Linked DNA regions of Callithrix jacchus. The protein of the gene in region 2 interacts with the protein of the main gene of each other region in a biochemical or structural test. Links are inferred from orthologs where the notes say so. Each region holds a gene or a part of one and is shown on either strand. Other genes may lie near its edges. The genes, in order: PLK3, CDC25C and CHEK1.

What was found.
Region 1: of the proteins of CDC25C (region 2) and PLK3, one has a biochemical effect on the other in vitro, tested with the Homo sapiens proteins (2 studies listed by BioGRID, with this or other methods). The link is inferred for Callithrix jacchus from reciprocal best matches to the Homo sapiens genes CDC25C and PLK3.
Region 3: of the proteins of CDC25C (region 2) and CHEK1, one has a biochemical effect on the other in vitro, tested with the Homo sapiens proteins (16 studies listed by BioGRID and IntAct, with this or other methods). The link is inferred for Callithrix jacchus from reciprocal best matches to the Homo sapiens genes CDC25C and CHEK1.

Annotation. Positions count from the first base shown.
Region 1 is NC_133508.1:81,515,320-81,519,702, forward strand, and holds the start of PLK3 (serine/threonine-protein kinase PLK3), read left to right. Parts: upstream 1-1,376; 5' UTR 1,377-1,472; coding exon 1,473-1,682; exon of another isoform or gene 1,683-1,848; coding exon 1,849-1,956; intron 1,957-2,044; coding exon 2,045-2,161; intron 2,162-2,604; coding exon 2,605-2,734; exon of another isoform or gene 2,735-2,752; intron 2,753-2,818; coding exon 2,819-2,906; intron 2,907-3,713; coding exon 3,714-3,809; intron 3,810-3,908; coding exon 3,909-4,107; intron 4,108-4,222; coding exon 4,223-4,349; intron 4,350-4,383. UniProt on the Homo sapiens protein: Serine/threonine-protein kinase involved in cell cycle regulation, response to stress and Golgi disassembly. Polo-like kinases act by binding and phosphorylating proteins that are already phosphorylated on a specific motif recognized by the POLO box domains.
Region 2 is NC_133503.1:36,753,571-36,757,956, reverse strand, and holds the start of CDC25C (M-phase inducer phosphatase 3), read left to right. Parts: upstream 1-1,451; 5' UTR 1,452-1,578; intron 1,579-2,055; exon of another isoform or gene 2,056-2,097; intron 2,098-2,340; exon of another isoform or gene 2,341-2,342; 5' UTR 2,343-2,406; intron 2,407-2,510; exon of another isoform or gene 2,511-2,546; intron 2,547-2,700; exon of another isoform or gene 2,701-2,826; intron 2,827-4,386. UniProt on the Homo sapiens protein: Functions as a dosage-dependent inducer in mitotic control. Tyrosine protein phosphatase required for progression of the cell cycle. When phosphorylated, highly effective in activating G2 cells into prophase.
Region 3 is NC_133511.1:25,236,034-25,240,355, forward strand, and holds the start of CHEK1 (serine/threonine-protein kinase Chk1), read left to right. Parts: upstream 1-1,341; 5' UTR 1,342-1,707; coding exon 1,708-1,720; intron 1,721-1,917; coding exon 1,918-2,002; intron 2,003-2,788; coding exon 2,789-3,012; intron 3,013-4,322. UniProt on the Homo sapiens protein: Serine/threonine-protein kinase which is required for checkpoint-mediated cell cycle arrest and activation of DNA repair in response to the presence of DNA damage or unreplicated DNA.

The DNA.
Region 1 (4,383 bases), on a different chromosome or scaffold from region 2:
CTACTAATAGCATACGGAGCGGGATGAAATGGGCCTGAGACTGAGGCCAGGAAAGCAGCAAGGAGCTGTGGCAATCATCCTGACCAGAGAGACTGTGGCCCAGGCCAGGGTGTGAGGGGAAGATGGAGCCAAGGGGATAGATATTAGAGCTATTTGAGAGATAAACTTGACAGGATTTGGGTACTCAGCAAATATTTGTTTACTTTACCGGCTACTCTTTCTAAAGTAGGCCCTTCATTTGCTCTTCTGTTTACTTACTTCATAGCACTTTTCACAGCCTGCAATTACCTTGTTTATCTGCTTGCCTATTGTCTGTTTCCATCAAGCAGAATGTAAACTAAGTAAGGGCTGCGACCTTGATTCGTTTTGAGATAGTGTCCAGCACTTAGCAGATACTCTCAATAAATCTTGGCGGAATGGCATAGTAATTGATTGCTGGCACAAAGGGAGGGCAGAGAGATAAGAGCCAAGGCCAGGAGGCCAGTGGTCCTGGGGCTCTGTCTCTGGCCCTGGGAAGGGTGGGCATTGAGCAGGGATCTAAGGGTCCACATGTTTCGGAGACTTAGCTGCCCCATTGCCTGTGGCTAGCATTTGAGAAAAATCCAATTCCCATTCTTCACTTTCTGGCCTTCTGGCTGCTGACCCAGGCCAGGGGTATTTTCAGAGGAAGGGAACTGGGGAGTCCACAGGAACCCGAAAGCTGCCCCTCAAGAGTGTAGAAGTGGGCAGCGGAAGATGGGCCTGGAAGCATGGTAAAAGCCTTGAAATACCAGGCTCTGCTTGACTCCCAAACCTGGCAAGGCAGCCCTAGGGCTGGGCAAGCCAGGACTGTGCCTTCCTCTCAGGTCCTAAAGAAGGCAGCACTGTGCCAGGCCCCGGGCAAGGGCATGGGACGCACGCGGTCCGGCACACAGAAAGGGGAGAGCTGGTGAGAAGCCCGGGCAAAAGCGAGCCCGCCCCTGCCTCGCCCCTCCTGGCTAGAACGCTGATCTATCTAGTTGCTGGGGAGACGCCTCCAGATGCCCGGGTCCCACTCGGACTTCAGCACACTTTCCAAAGGATGGGGAAAGAAAGAGGCCCCCATGAGGGGGACTCGCAGTCGTCAAGGAGGGGTGAGAGACGGACAGGGATCAGCTGGCTCCTGCGGCCTGGTCGCACCTGCACAGTGACTGGCAAACGGGCTGCGCCCCAGGGCGTGGCCAGGAGGCGGGGCTTGGAAGTGCGTTTGGTGGGGGAGGAGCTTCTGGGTGACGTAAGTCCAGGAATGGGTGTGGCTTTTCCATGACTCGCGCCAGGAAGGGGGCGGAACTTTCGGTGACGAGACGCCGGGGAGGGGCAGGCGTTCATTGATAAAAACGCTGGGCTACCGCGGGCGCGAGCGCAGCGTAGCAAATCCAGGCAGCGCCACGCGCGGCCGGGGCCGGGCGGAACCGAGAAGAAGCCGGGCCCCTGCGCTGCGACGCGCCGCCCGCATGGAGCCCGCCGCCGGTTTCCTGTCCCCGCGCCCCTTCCAGCGTGCGGCAGCCCCACCCTCTCCCCCCGCCGGGCCCGGGCCGCCTCCGAGTGCCTTGCCCGGACCTGAGCTGGAGATGCTGGCCGGGCTACCGGCGTCAGACCCCGGGCGCCTCATCACGGACCCGCGCAGCGGCCGCACTTACTTCAAAGGCCGCTTGTTGGGCAAGGTGGGCCGGGGGACGTCACCGGGGTGGTGATGGTGGAGGCGGGGGTCCCGGCCGGCCTCTTTTCTGACGCCAAGCCAGGCGTGGGCGCTTTACCGTAACGCGGGGACTCCCGCGGGCTAGACTCGGCCTCCCCTGGAACACCCAGCCTGATGCCCCCTCTTCACAGGGGGGCTTCGCCCGGTGCTACGAGGCTACTGACACAGAGACTGGCAGCGCCTACGCTGTCAAAGTCATCCCACAGAGCCGCGTCGCCAAACCGCATCAGCGTGAGAAGGTGGGTCTAGGCTCAGCTTGCGAGGGGTGGGGTGGGGACGGTGGCCTGGGAACCATGGAAGGATGATGACCCCGTGCCCTCATCGCAGATCCTAAATGAGATTGAGCTGCACCGAGACCTGCAGCACCGCCACATCGTGCGTTTTTCGCACCACTTTGAGGATGCTGACAACATCTACATTTTCCTGGAGCTCTGCAGCCGAAAGGTGAAAGATGGTGATTCCAGCAGGGATGAGGGTGAGGGAGACAAGAGAGTCTTTTTTGTTGTCTCGCTCTGTCGCCCATGCTGGAGTGCAGTGGTGCGATCTCAGCTTACTGCAACCTCCGCCTCCCGGGTTCGAGCGATTCTCCTGCCTCAGCCTCCTGAGTAGCTGGGACTACGGGTGGGCGCCACCACGACCAGCTAATTTTCGTATTTTTAGTAGAGATGGGGTTTCAGCATGTTGGTCAAGCTGGTTTCGAACTCCTGACCTCGTGATCCGCCCACTTCGGCCTCCCAAAGTGTTGGGATTACAGGCATCAGCCACTGCACCCCAGCTGAGAAGAGAGTCTTAAGACCCAAAGCTGGGGCCCTGTCTCTTCCACAGGGAGCACAGATGGAGGGGGTGGGGGAGGTCCCAACAGGGGCTGAGGCAGTGGTTCTCTGCAGTCCCTGGCCCACATCTGGAAGGCCCGCCACACCCTGTTGGAGCCAGAGGTGCGATACTACCTGAGGCAGATCCTTTCAGGCCTTAAGTACTTGCACCAGCGAGGCATCTTGCACCGGGACCTCAAGTTGGGTGAGACTCCTGAGCCCTGAGGATGGGAGGTTGGGGAGGGAAGGAGGAAGGAAGAATCTGACACACCTCTCTTTCCCCATCCAGGAAATTTTTTCATCACTGAGAACATGGAATTGAAGGTGGGGGATTTTGGACTGGCAGCCCGGTTGGAGCCCCCAGAGCAGAGGAAGAAGTGAGTTTTGAGGAAAGGAGTCTGTGTGTGACATATGTGACAGACAGTGCATATGTATGTAGGAGGCCAGATGACTGTCTGATGTTTGCATGAGATAAATGGGAAGGGATGATGGGCTGTTTATGCGTGTGTGAAGGTGGAGGTGGCAGCCTGTGTTACTGGGATTGGTGGAGAGAGGGAGGATCCTATAGATGTGTGACACAGATAGGGTAGGTAACCCTGAATCCCTGAGACAGATGGGGATATACAGATTCTTGGAGGCACATGACTTACCCTGTGTGTGGATGGGGGACGGTGACAGGCAGCATGTGGTGTATGAGACAGACTGAGAGTGGGAATGGTGGGACATGACACTGGGTGTAAGAAGACCCTGCTGTGGCCATCTCCCTGCATGTGTCGGACACAGATAGCATGTGTGGCAGATGAGTGTTTATGGGGGTTGTGACAGCTGGTGTTGGCGTGTGTGTGGCACAGACCATGGGAGGTGACAGCCTGATGCCTGTCTGACAGACAGGAGTGCAGGAAGGGAGAAGGGATCAGCTGTGGACTCTCTGTGTTGACCCAGGAGGAGGGGACAGGGCTGGGGGTCAGGCCCTCTCCCTGTCATGAAGAGCAGCTGAGCAGCTGGGCCAGGCGGGTAGGCAGGGACTCAGCTGCCATCCCTGGCATCCATTGTCCCAGGACAAGCAGGAGCTCTCTGGCCTTTGGTGACAGGCAGCTGCTTTGTCTGGACTCGCAGTGGGGGAAGGGGTGGGGGGCTGCTGGGCTACGTCTCAGCCTTCTCTCCTCCTCCTCACCCTCTTTCAGGACCATCTGTGGCACCCCCAACTATGTGGCTCCAGAAGTGCTACTGAGACAGGGCCACGGCCCTGAGGCAGATGTGTGGTCACTGGGCTGTGTCATGTGAGTCTCAGGGACCAGGGTCAGCAGCAGATAGGTGGTGGGTGTGTGGGTGGGGCATCCCCTCCACTTGACTCCTGACCCCTTGGCTCTGCCCTACAGGTACACGCTGCTCTGTGGGACCCCTCCCTTTGAGACAGCAGACCTGAAGGAGACATATCGCTGCATCAAGCAGGTTCACTACACGCTGCCTGCCAGCCTCTCACTGCCTGCCCGGCAGCTTCTGGCTGCCATCCTTCGGGCTTCACCCCGAGACCGCCCCTCTATTGACCAGATCCTGCGCCATGACTTCTTTGCCAAGGTCTGTGGCTCCCCAGACCTCTAAGTCCAGTCTGTGTATTCCCAGCGATTGAAAAGGGGCAGGTGACAGGACCCCTGGAGCCTCTATTCTCTGTTCACATGGCTCCCCTCCTTAGGGCTACACCCCTGATCGACTCCCTATCAGCAGCTGTGTGACAGTCCCAGACCTGACACCCCCCAACCCGGCTAGGAGTCTGTTTGCCAAAGTTACCAAGAGCCTCTTTGGCAGAAAGAAGAAGAAGAGTGAGTCTTGGGTGTCACTGGGTTGAGGGGGTAG
Region 2 (4,386 bases):
TTTGTTCTGTCTATTCCCAGAAATGACCAGCAGGCTGACAGATTACCAGAGACTGTATGCAGCATTAGCTAGTCAAAAGAACAAATGATCAAGAAATCTAATTATTAAATCTAATTTTCTGAGAGTTTTGGCAAATCATTTAATACTCCTTGGCCTCAGTTTACCCATATGTAAAGTAGGTAGAATAATCTAAACCTGTCACAGGAACAACATAACATACTAAAATGTACAAAAGGTACCACCTGGCCTGTAAAAATCAGGAGTCCACATAGACTACCATTTCTCATTTCTGTTTGTGAATCTTCAAGACCTCAGAATGTCAGAAGTAATGATATCAGTAAGATGAAGAAGGCAACAGGGTCTATCTCTGGCTGAATACCATCCTCCCTCACCTGCACACTAAAAAAAAGCCCAAGAAGGCTCTTCCTTCTGTGACCTTGGGGGCAGACCACTGTACAATAAAGAGGAAATCATCTCTAACCCATTCACACCTCAGAAGGAGGCCACAAGGAAGAGCAAAGAAATGAATCTGGATGTACTTGGAGTTCTTTGGAAGAAAGGTGCAAGAGAAGTCAATCATCATTAGAGTTAACTACCATTTTCATGCATAATTATTACCACCCTGAACAAAATTCTAGCTTCCGGGGAGCTCCCTTCAGCTGCTTCCCCTATGTTCTCATGGGAGAAGCTAAAGCTTATATCACTTTTGCTCTTGGTTTCTTAACTCTGCCTTCAAAGATCAACCAGAGAGGAAACCTAAGTGCAGGATTTTACCCTAGAGACCCCAGGCCTCAGGCTCACCAGCTAGGAGGAACAGGGTAGTGAAACAAACTCTCTAGCTTTTCGAAAGATATTTGGACAACAGCAAACTCCCAATCATCTCTAGGATAGGTGAATAGAGTGAATTTGTGTTTTTCTGCATTTTAATTGTTGGGATGTGGCCACACACAGCGGTAATTGGAACAATGCAACTACCACCACGCAACTGATACTCTCAGCCTGAGTTTCCTAAAACAGGCCAGGCTGAGAGGGGGAACAGAACGGAAGCCATAAGGAATCAAACCAGGACACAAAAGAAGGCAAACCAGCTCCGCGAGGGGCCTCCTCTTTCTCAAGCAGGCATTGAAAAAAGTGTAAGAAGCCCGATCTTGCTGCCTTCCTTCCCCTTCCATTTTGTGTATCTGAAGGGTAGAGACAGCCCTGAACGTTCACTAAACAAGTTAAAACTTCTCAGTTTAACAACTGGCACAAGGGCTTAGCCCTTCACAGAGCAGCAGGCCGCTAGGCCCTCTCAGCAACCCCACCAGGCCTAACCCTCAGTCCAGGCTTTTCCTCCACCATCAGCCCCCTAAAATAAAGATCGGACCCCCACCCCATCTGCTACTGGATGGCAGTAACCCCTGACACTCCTGTTTCAGGGATGCGGAGGTTGTGCTGAACCTAGACAAGGTAGAATCAAGTCAGGCCAAGAGGGAGGAGAGTCACAAATCCCTTGGGGACCTTCCCCCAGGTCCCAGCCCTACACCTCTTGGGGAGACTGAAGGAAAACATGAGGAAGGCAGGGAGGTGCACGAACAGGTAAGTGGAGACCTTCCGCCTCTTCTTCCATATGGTTCTGGTGGGAATAGTGGTGACAAGTGGGAAACACCCCTCCCCCACCCCCATGAAGAAGCAAAAGGCTAGGCCCCTTCAATCTTCAAGCTATCCCTCTGTTGCCCTGCCTGTCCCCGCGGGGTGGGGCATGGGGCGTCCGCTGGTCCGCGGCGGGGGGGGGTCGCCAGGGCTTGCTCAGGGGGGCTGGCGTTTGCCTCTTCCCACTAGGTTCCATCATCTGGCCGCGGGAAGCGAACTCCCGACGCAAGGGATGGGGAGGGTCTGGGACTTAGCACTCCGCCACCCCCTCCCCCACCGGGTCCCGTGCTCTCCCCGCGGAGGCGGCCTGCGAGGCCCGGCCGCACAGGCGGCAGGACTGGGGGAGGGGAAAGAGGGAAGGAGGGAGGGACAGTTGAGGTGCCCGCCCCGAGGCCCCAGCGCCACCTGCCCTCTGCCACCTACCGCAGCTCCTCCAGCTCCCAGGGCCACGGCCGGAGCAGCTCTGAGCGCTCCGTTCGCCCCACGGTGCCCTTAAAAGGCGCTGGCGCGAACCAACGAGTCCCTGAGGAGAGTAGGGGGACAGCTCCGGCTAGCAGAATCCCCTCGAGCCACCCGCGGAGGCCGCAGCCCCGTGTGGTGTCTCTGTCAACGTCTTTCTCAGATAGCGCTGTCGGGAAGTAGCCTGACGCTTTGATTTAGGGATGGGGGTGGTTTCCTCACTAACGAGTCACCCCTTCAAAATCTCTCAGAAAGTGGACGGTCCCAGTCGGAGGCACATCTTGAAACCCGCGGGGGAGGCCCCGTCGGAAGAAGGTAAACAAAGGCATCGCCCCTGGCCTCCCTCCCTCCGTCGGCCCAACTACAGCCTCCCACGCGGTTCTGGCCGCGTCACGCAATTAGCCACAGTGCCCCATCACCTGCTCTGCTGCTCCGCCCTCCACGGCCACCTCTTCGAAGGAATTCCCCCTTCCCCCTGCAAAGGACCTGTCCGCCGCGTGAAGGCTGCTGGGAAGTGTGGTCCAAGCGCCGATCAGGGCCTGCTCTGAGTCCCAGGAGCCCCTCTTGCAGCTGCCGGATCGGCATGAATCTTAAAAACCCAGGACTTACAATGGTTGCGGGGCCGTTTCCACTCGGTTTTGTAATTTGCCCTCACCCAGAACACTTTGTAAAGCTCAGGATAGCCCAAGGCTGTTCACTCCCTATCCTCCCTCTCCGCCCCCCCCCCAGCAGGATGAGGTAATGGGATTGTGATTATGACATCATAGGCGGTTCAGTTGCTTGCGTTGGGTGGGGGGAGGTGCGGGGAGGTGGGGAGAAGTACGGTGGTTACACTTTCGTTAAACAGAAAGGGAGGGAGGAAACAGGCAGATGGTGAAAAGATGTGACGGCCCTACATTTCCACTTCAGGAAGACAAAACCACCTTTTATTAAGTCTCCACCACTACCACCACTTCCCACATGAGCCAAAGTTTAAGTCTTTTTTAGAGACTGAATGTAGACGTTAGTGTGTGAAGAGGTTGGGTTGATGGTTTCTGGCTCTTATGTAAATTTGAGTCTCAGCCTCACAGATGGTTCAGGGAGACAAGCAAAAAAGTGGATGAAGAAGAGGCTTTAAACAATGCCTTCGTGTTGTGATCTCTTTGTAATGCAAAGTTTTCGATTTTTTTTCAATTGATTGGAAAGTAGCAGTAATGCAAGTAATCTTCACTATTACACTTAGCAGAAAGTCCTCTGAAAGACATCTGTTCTCTGTAAATATTTTGTGCCTTACTCATGACTGGGACAGGTAAATAGCTGTGATCAGCTGGAAAGTAGAGCCAATGGTGGGGATCTTCCTCACAGAGCCAGGTAGATGAGGAAGCAGGAGCCACAAAGTCTGCAAACTGAAAAAGAGTAGAGGAAAAGTGAGGTACAATAATAACTGAGAAAATAGGGGTAGAGAGATTTACCTTGCACTGCCTATTTCCCCTTGGCAAAAGGAGCAGAGGCAGGCACCATGAAGTGTGGGACACATAGTTTCTAATAATTGCACTTATGTGCCAGACACCATGCTTTTTTTTTTTTTGCAGAAACAGGGTTTTGCTCTGTTGCTCAGGCTGGAATGCAGTGAGACCATCATAGCTAACTGCAGCTTGAACTTCTGGGCTCAAGCAGTCCTTCCCATCTCAGCCTCCTGAGTAGTTAGAACTACAGGGGTGTGCCACCATGCCCAGCATATTTATTTCTATTTTTGTAGAGAGAGGGTCCTTGCTATGTTGCCCAGGGTAGTCTGAAACTTCTGGCCTCAAATGATCTTCCCAGCTTGGCCTCACAAAGTGCTCAAATGGCCAGGCATGATGACTCACACCTGTAATCCCAGCACTTTGGGAAGCAAGGCAGACAGATCATTTGAGGTCAGGTGTTCCAGATCAGCCTGGCCAACATGGTGAAACCCCATCTCTACTAAAAAATACAAAAATTAGCTGGGCGTGGTGGTGCCCACATGTAATCCCAGCTACTCCGGAGGCTGAGGCAGGAGAATCGCTTGAACCCAGGAGGCAGAGGTTGCAGTGAGCTGAGATCATGCCACTGTACTTCAGCCTGGGCCACAAACAAAACAAAAGAACAAAAAAAAAAAAAAGTGCTGGGATTCCAGGTGTGAACCACCATACCTGGCCTACATACTTTGATGTATATTCTCATTTTTTTTTACAGTCATCCAATGAAACAAAACTTTCTCTTTGACAAAGGAAACAGCCCAGGAGATTAAGTGACTGCCCACGTGGTAGGTAGAGGTAGTATCAAAAAGCAGTC
Region 3 (4,322 bases), on a different chromosome or scaffold from region 2:
ACAGGTGTGCACCAACACTCCCAGCTAGTTTTTTGTACTTTTAGTAGAGATGAGGTTTCACTATGTTGGCCAGGTTGGTCTTGAACTCCTGGCTTCAAGCCATTCTCCTGCCTTGCCTTCCCAAAGTGCTGGAATTACAGGCACGAGCCACTGCGCCCGGCTAGTACTGGAGAATGTATGGAGATGATCTTGCCTATGCCTTGAGCTCCAGTTTAGTTTATCGTCAGAGAATACCTATTTCAGTTTTTCCTATTTGGTTCTCAAGTCTGTTTCCTCAGAATTTACTTTTCTGTACGCCGCTTTTAAATTTGCATTGTAAAATTTACTTTGGCTCTCCCCGCTTGTAAAAATGAAAGTCTGTAGAAGAACTAAGCTAAGCAGATGGTCTTCCTCCAAAAAGATTGGGCTGAACTAAAGCACTGTTTTGGAGCCGGTTCACAGACAAAAAGCAAAATTGGTTATCCTGACTTTACCTCAAGTTCCAAAATAAACTGCTTTCTTTCTCTGGGAAACTTCCCACGCCACACACACAATGCGTGGCCAGTCATTTCGATGCCTCTCGCTCCCTACACGGAGTTCCTCTCATTCTTCACAGCTCTCAGCAGCTGCTGCTAGTTTCTCGGCTCCAACACCACGGGTACCGCACGCTGAAGTTTACAAAACACTCTGCAGCACCCACTAACTGTGATCTTCACAGTCCTGTCGCAGGCTGGTGGCCTCAAGCAGGTAGCGGTGCAGCCTTTCAGGTCCAGCGCGACCCGGAGCGATGCCCGCAGCCCCGCCTGGAAGCGCAGCGCGGTCGGTCGCGCGCACCCTCGGCGTGGAGGCCTCGGCTCCGCCCGGCAGTGGACGAGCACGGCCTAGCCGAGCCGCACACACCGGATGCCACTTCATATTTGGGCCCAGAGCTCAATTCACGCCGACGCAGTCCGCCGTCCTTAAATCTCTTCAGCCAGGATCTCTCCCCGACTGCAAAGCAACCCTGGGCCGGAGCGGCAACCTCGCACCGTCAGTCTTTTGGAGCAGCCGATCCTCCGAGGGGTGGGACACGGTAACGCGCGCTGTCCTGCTTTACGGCACGGGTGCGCGCGTTTGCGGCAGCAAGTTTTGGCGGGAAAAGCGCTGCATTTGGATTCCTGCAGTGGTGGGCAAAGGACAGCCCGGTGACGAAGGGCGGCCGGTAGGGTAGGAATAGATTCTAAAGAAGGAGTTCGGGGTCTAGATTAGTGAGACGGGCAAGGTGGGAGAAAGTTAGCATTGACTAGCGCAGGGGATTGGAGAAACTCCTGCGGAGGGGCGGTTTCGGAGGGTGGAGGAATGTGGTACCAGGAGGTTCCGGTTGTCGGGGTGGAGGGAGTGAGCGGGGAGAAAGGACTAACTTGCTGCTGGCTAGGAACCCCTGGGGTTTAGGCGCCGTCCTTCTGGGTCCCAGTCCTTCTTACTCCTCTCGAGGCAGTTTGGCCCCGCCCCAGCTTCTGGGACGGGTCGGGTGTGGACGGGGATGGGAATTGGAGCTGAGCGATTGGGTGGAGGCGCTACCGCGGCGTCTTCTGCCCAGTTCCGCCCCCTGTATCCCCTTACTCTCTTCCGCAGACCCCCATCTCTCCTACCTTTTTCCCCAGAAAGCATTTGTCCACCACCTCTTCACCACGATTAATTTACTCTAGGCTTGAGGAGGGCAGAATTTCAGCCTTCGGTGTGCGTGGCATGAATAGCGATTGTGAGTTACACGACAAAATGCCCACGTTTAGAATAGTTGCTCGTGGTTGAAAGACCTGGATAAATATGGATGAGATATAAGGGGAAGGCAAGAGCTGTTATTGCTCGTGGGGAATCCTGGGGAGAGGCGGGGCGCAGTGGCTTCATAGGTGATTTTACTCTAGCCTTCCATCTTTTCTGGATTCCTGCCTTTTACAGCCAAGGTGCTCCGTGGAGTCATGGCAGTGCCCTTTGTGGAAGACTGGGACTTGGTGCAAACCCTGGGAGAAGGTGCCTATGGAGAGTGAGTTTGAGTTCTTTTACCTTGCCTTTGTTTTCTGTCTGCATATTCACTGTTTTGGAGTCTAATACTCTGGTGACTTGGTGAGTAGATGTTTGAGATCCAAGTCTTTTGGCAACTATAGTTACACAGTCTTTTACTAGGATTAATATTTTTTTCTTCCCTTTTTTTTTAAAAAAAAAAAAGTTTTCTTTCTAAAGAGCTGGAAGGGACACGAAGTTATTGTTTCTGTGCCCACAGATTGTTTCTCAGGGTTTAAGCTTTGTGGTTAATTGAGCAAATGAGCAGACTCCGGAGATTGCCTGCTTGGTTTTGGATCCTTGCTCTATCACAAACTGGTCGTTGTTTTGTGATCTTAGGCAAGCTTTCTAATGTCACTGTGTACTTTTCCTTTACCATCTTAAGGATGGCAATAATAGTATCTACCCCATAGATGCTTAGGACGGTCAATTACACAGGCACATATAGTATGGGATTAATATTCTTAAAAGTATATGAGTAGAATATGTACATATGTGATGTGGCTTAGAATTACCTCAATCTGTTTTATGAAGTGTTTATTAAACGACTTGTGTGACAACATAAGGACTTCTTTGGAGTGTTAGCTGTCGTATTTCACATTTTAAAAAGGAGTAGTATCTATTGCAAACATAGCAGAAACTATTTCCTTGGTTTCTCCCTTGTGGAGAAATTAATAAAGGTAAAATAGTTTTAGATGGGTCGTGTATAACCTTTGGAAGTTTTAGAAGAAATGGTATTCTGTAATGTTAAAACTCTTTTCCTTTTTAGAGTTCAACTTGCTGTGAATAGAATAACTGAAGAAGCGGTCGCAGTGAAGATTGTAGATATGAAGCGGGCCGTAGACTGTCCAGAAAATATTAAGAAAGAGATCTGTATCAATAAAATGCTAAATCATGAAAACGTTGTAAAATTCTATGGTCACAGGAGAGAAGGCAATATCCAGTATTTATTTCTGGAGTACTGTAGTGGAGGAGAGCTTTTTGACAGAATAGGTATGGAAAAAAATTTAAGATAATTATTCTAAACAAGTTTTTAAATTTGTTTTTTAAATCTTGGGTATGCTATTAAGTCATTGTCCTTTCAGAATTGCTCATGCAACAGTGAAATTGGAATAAATTATCTTTAAAGAATTTTTCAAACTGGTGTTAATAATCAAAGCATACGTAGAGTCAATGAAAGAAAACTCCTTTCCCAAGTTATGTAAGTGATTTTGATTAAGATTGGTGTCTTAAAAAATTTAAGAGTGAGAAACTGTAGTTTTATGGTACATCATAAATGCACTGTATCCTAAATGCAATGTATTGCCTATACAATTTTTTTCTTTGTAGATATTCTCATTACATGAAATTATTGTATGTATTTACAGATCTAAAATTATAGCATGTTGTTTCCTTCCGGTTTACATGAAATAATTAAGAATTTTCTAGGATTGCTTTTTGTATATTAGGTAAATTCTGTGTTTGCTATTAATACTTAATCTATGTAGAATCAAAGAATTGATATTACAGAACACTGAGAAGTACATAAAATAAATTTGTGGATCTAAATTTATAATTTAAAGCTATTGTATTAACAATTAAAAACTGATACAGGTAATAGGATCCCCAGTGTGACTCAGGAGAGAATTGAGGGTAAAAGAAATGGAGTTAATGAGAGAGATCAAAGTATAAAAAAAACTGATAAAAGAACTCTTATAATAAAACTGTGTTTCATGAAGGACTTCACAGGCATTAGTGACTTTGTAGTGTGAGACTATATGATATTTAAATCTGAGCCAGGTGTGGTGGTACACGCCTGTAATCCTAGGTACTGAGGAGGCTGAGGCAGAAGGATCGCTTGAGCTCTAGACTTCCAGGTTACAGTGAGTTATGATCTCACTCCAGGGACTCCAGCCTGGGTGAAAGAGCGAGACCTTATCTCTTAAAAAAAAAAAAAGTTAAATAATAAAAAGTATAATCTGTAAAATATTTAGTGAAATTGGCTTAGATTTGCCCAGACTTCTCCCTTGGCATATTTCAGGCATGAAAAAAATATTAGCATAGCATTTAGAAGAAAAAGGGGAGAATTTGAAGGATACTGAATAAATAAGTGTTAGTATAAGAGGAAGCAGGGGCTTTAGAAGAGCAGCTTTTAAGGCATGGCTTGCCTTCTTGATCTGGATGTTGGTTTTCTCTTTATATTTTTCCTGTGATATTAGTTTTGCCATCTAACAGGTGAATGTGTGAGTTAAGCCCTGTATCTGTTAGTGGACTCCTGAATTTTTTGTTGGCATTTGATTCTGTTTGCTTAAGTACATTCATAA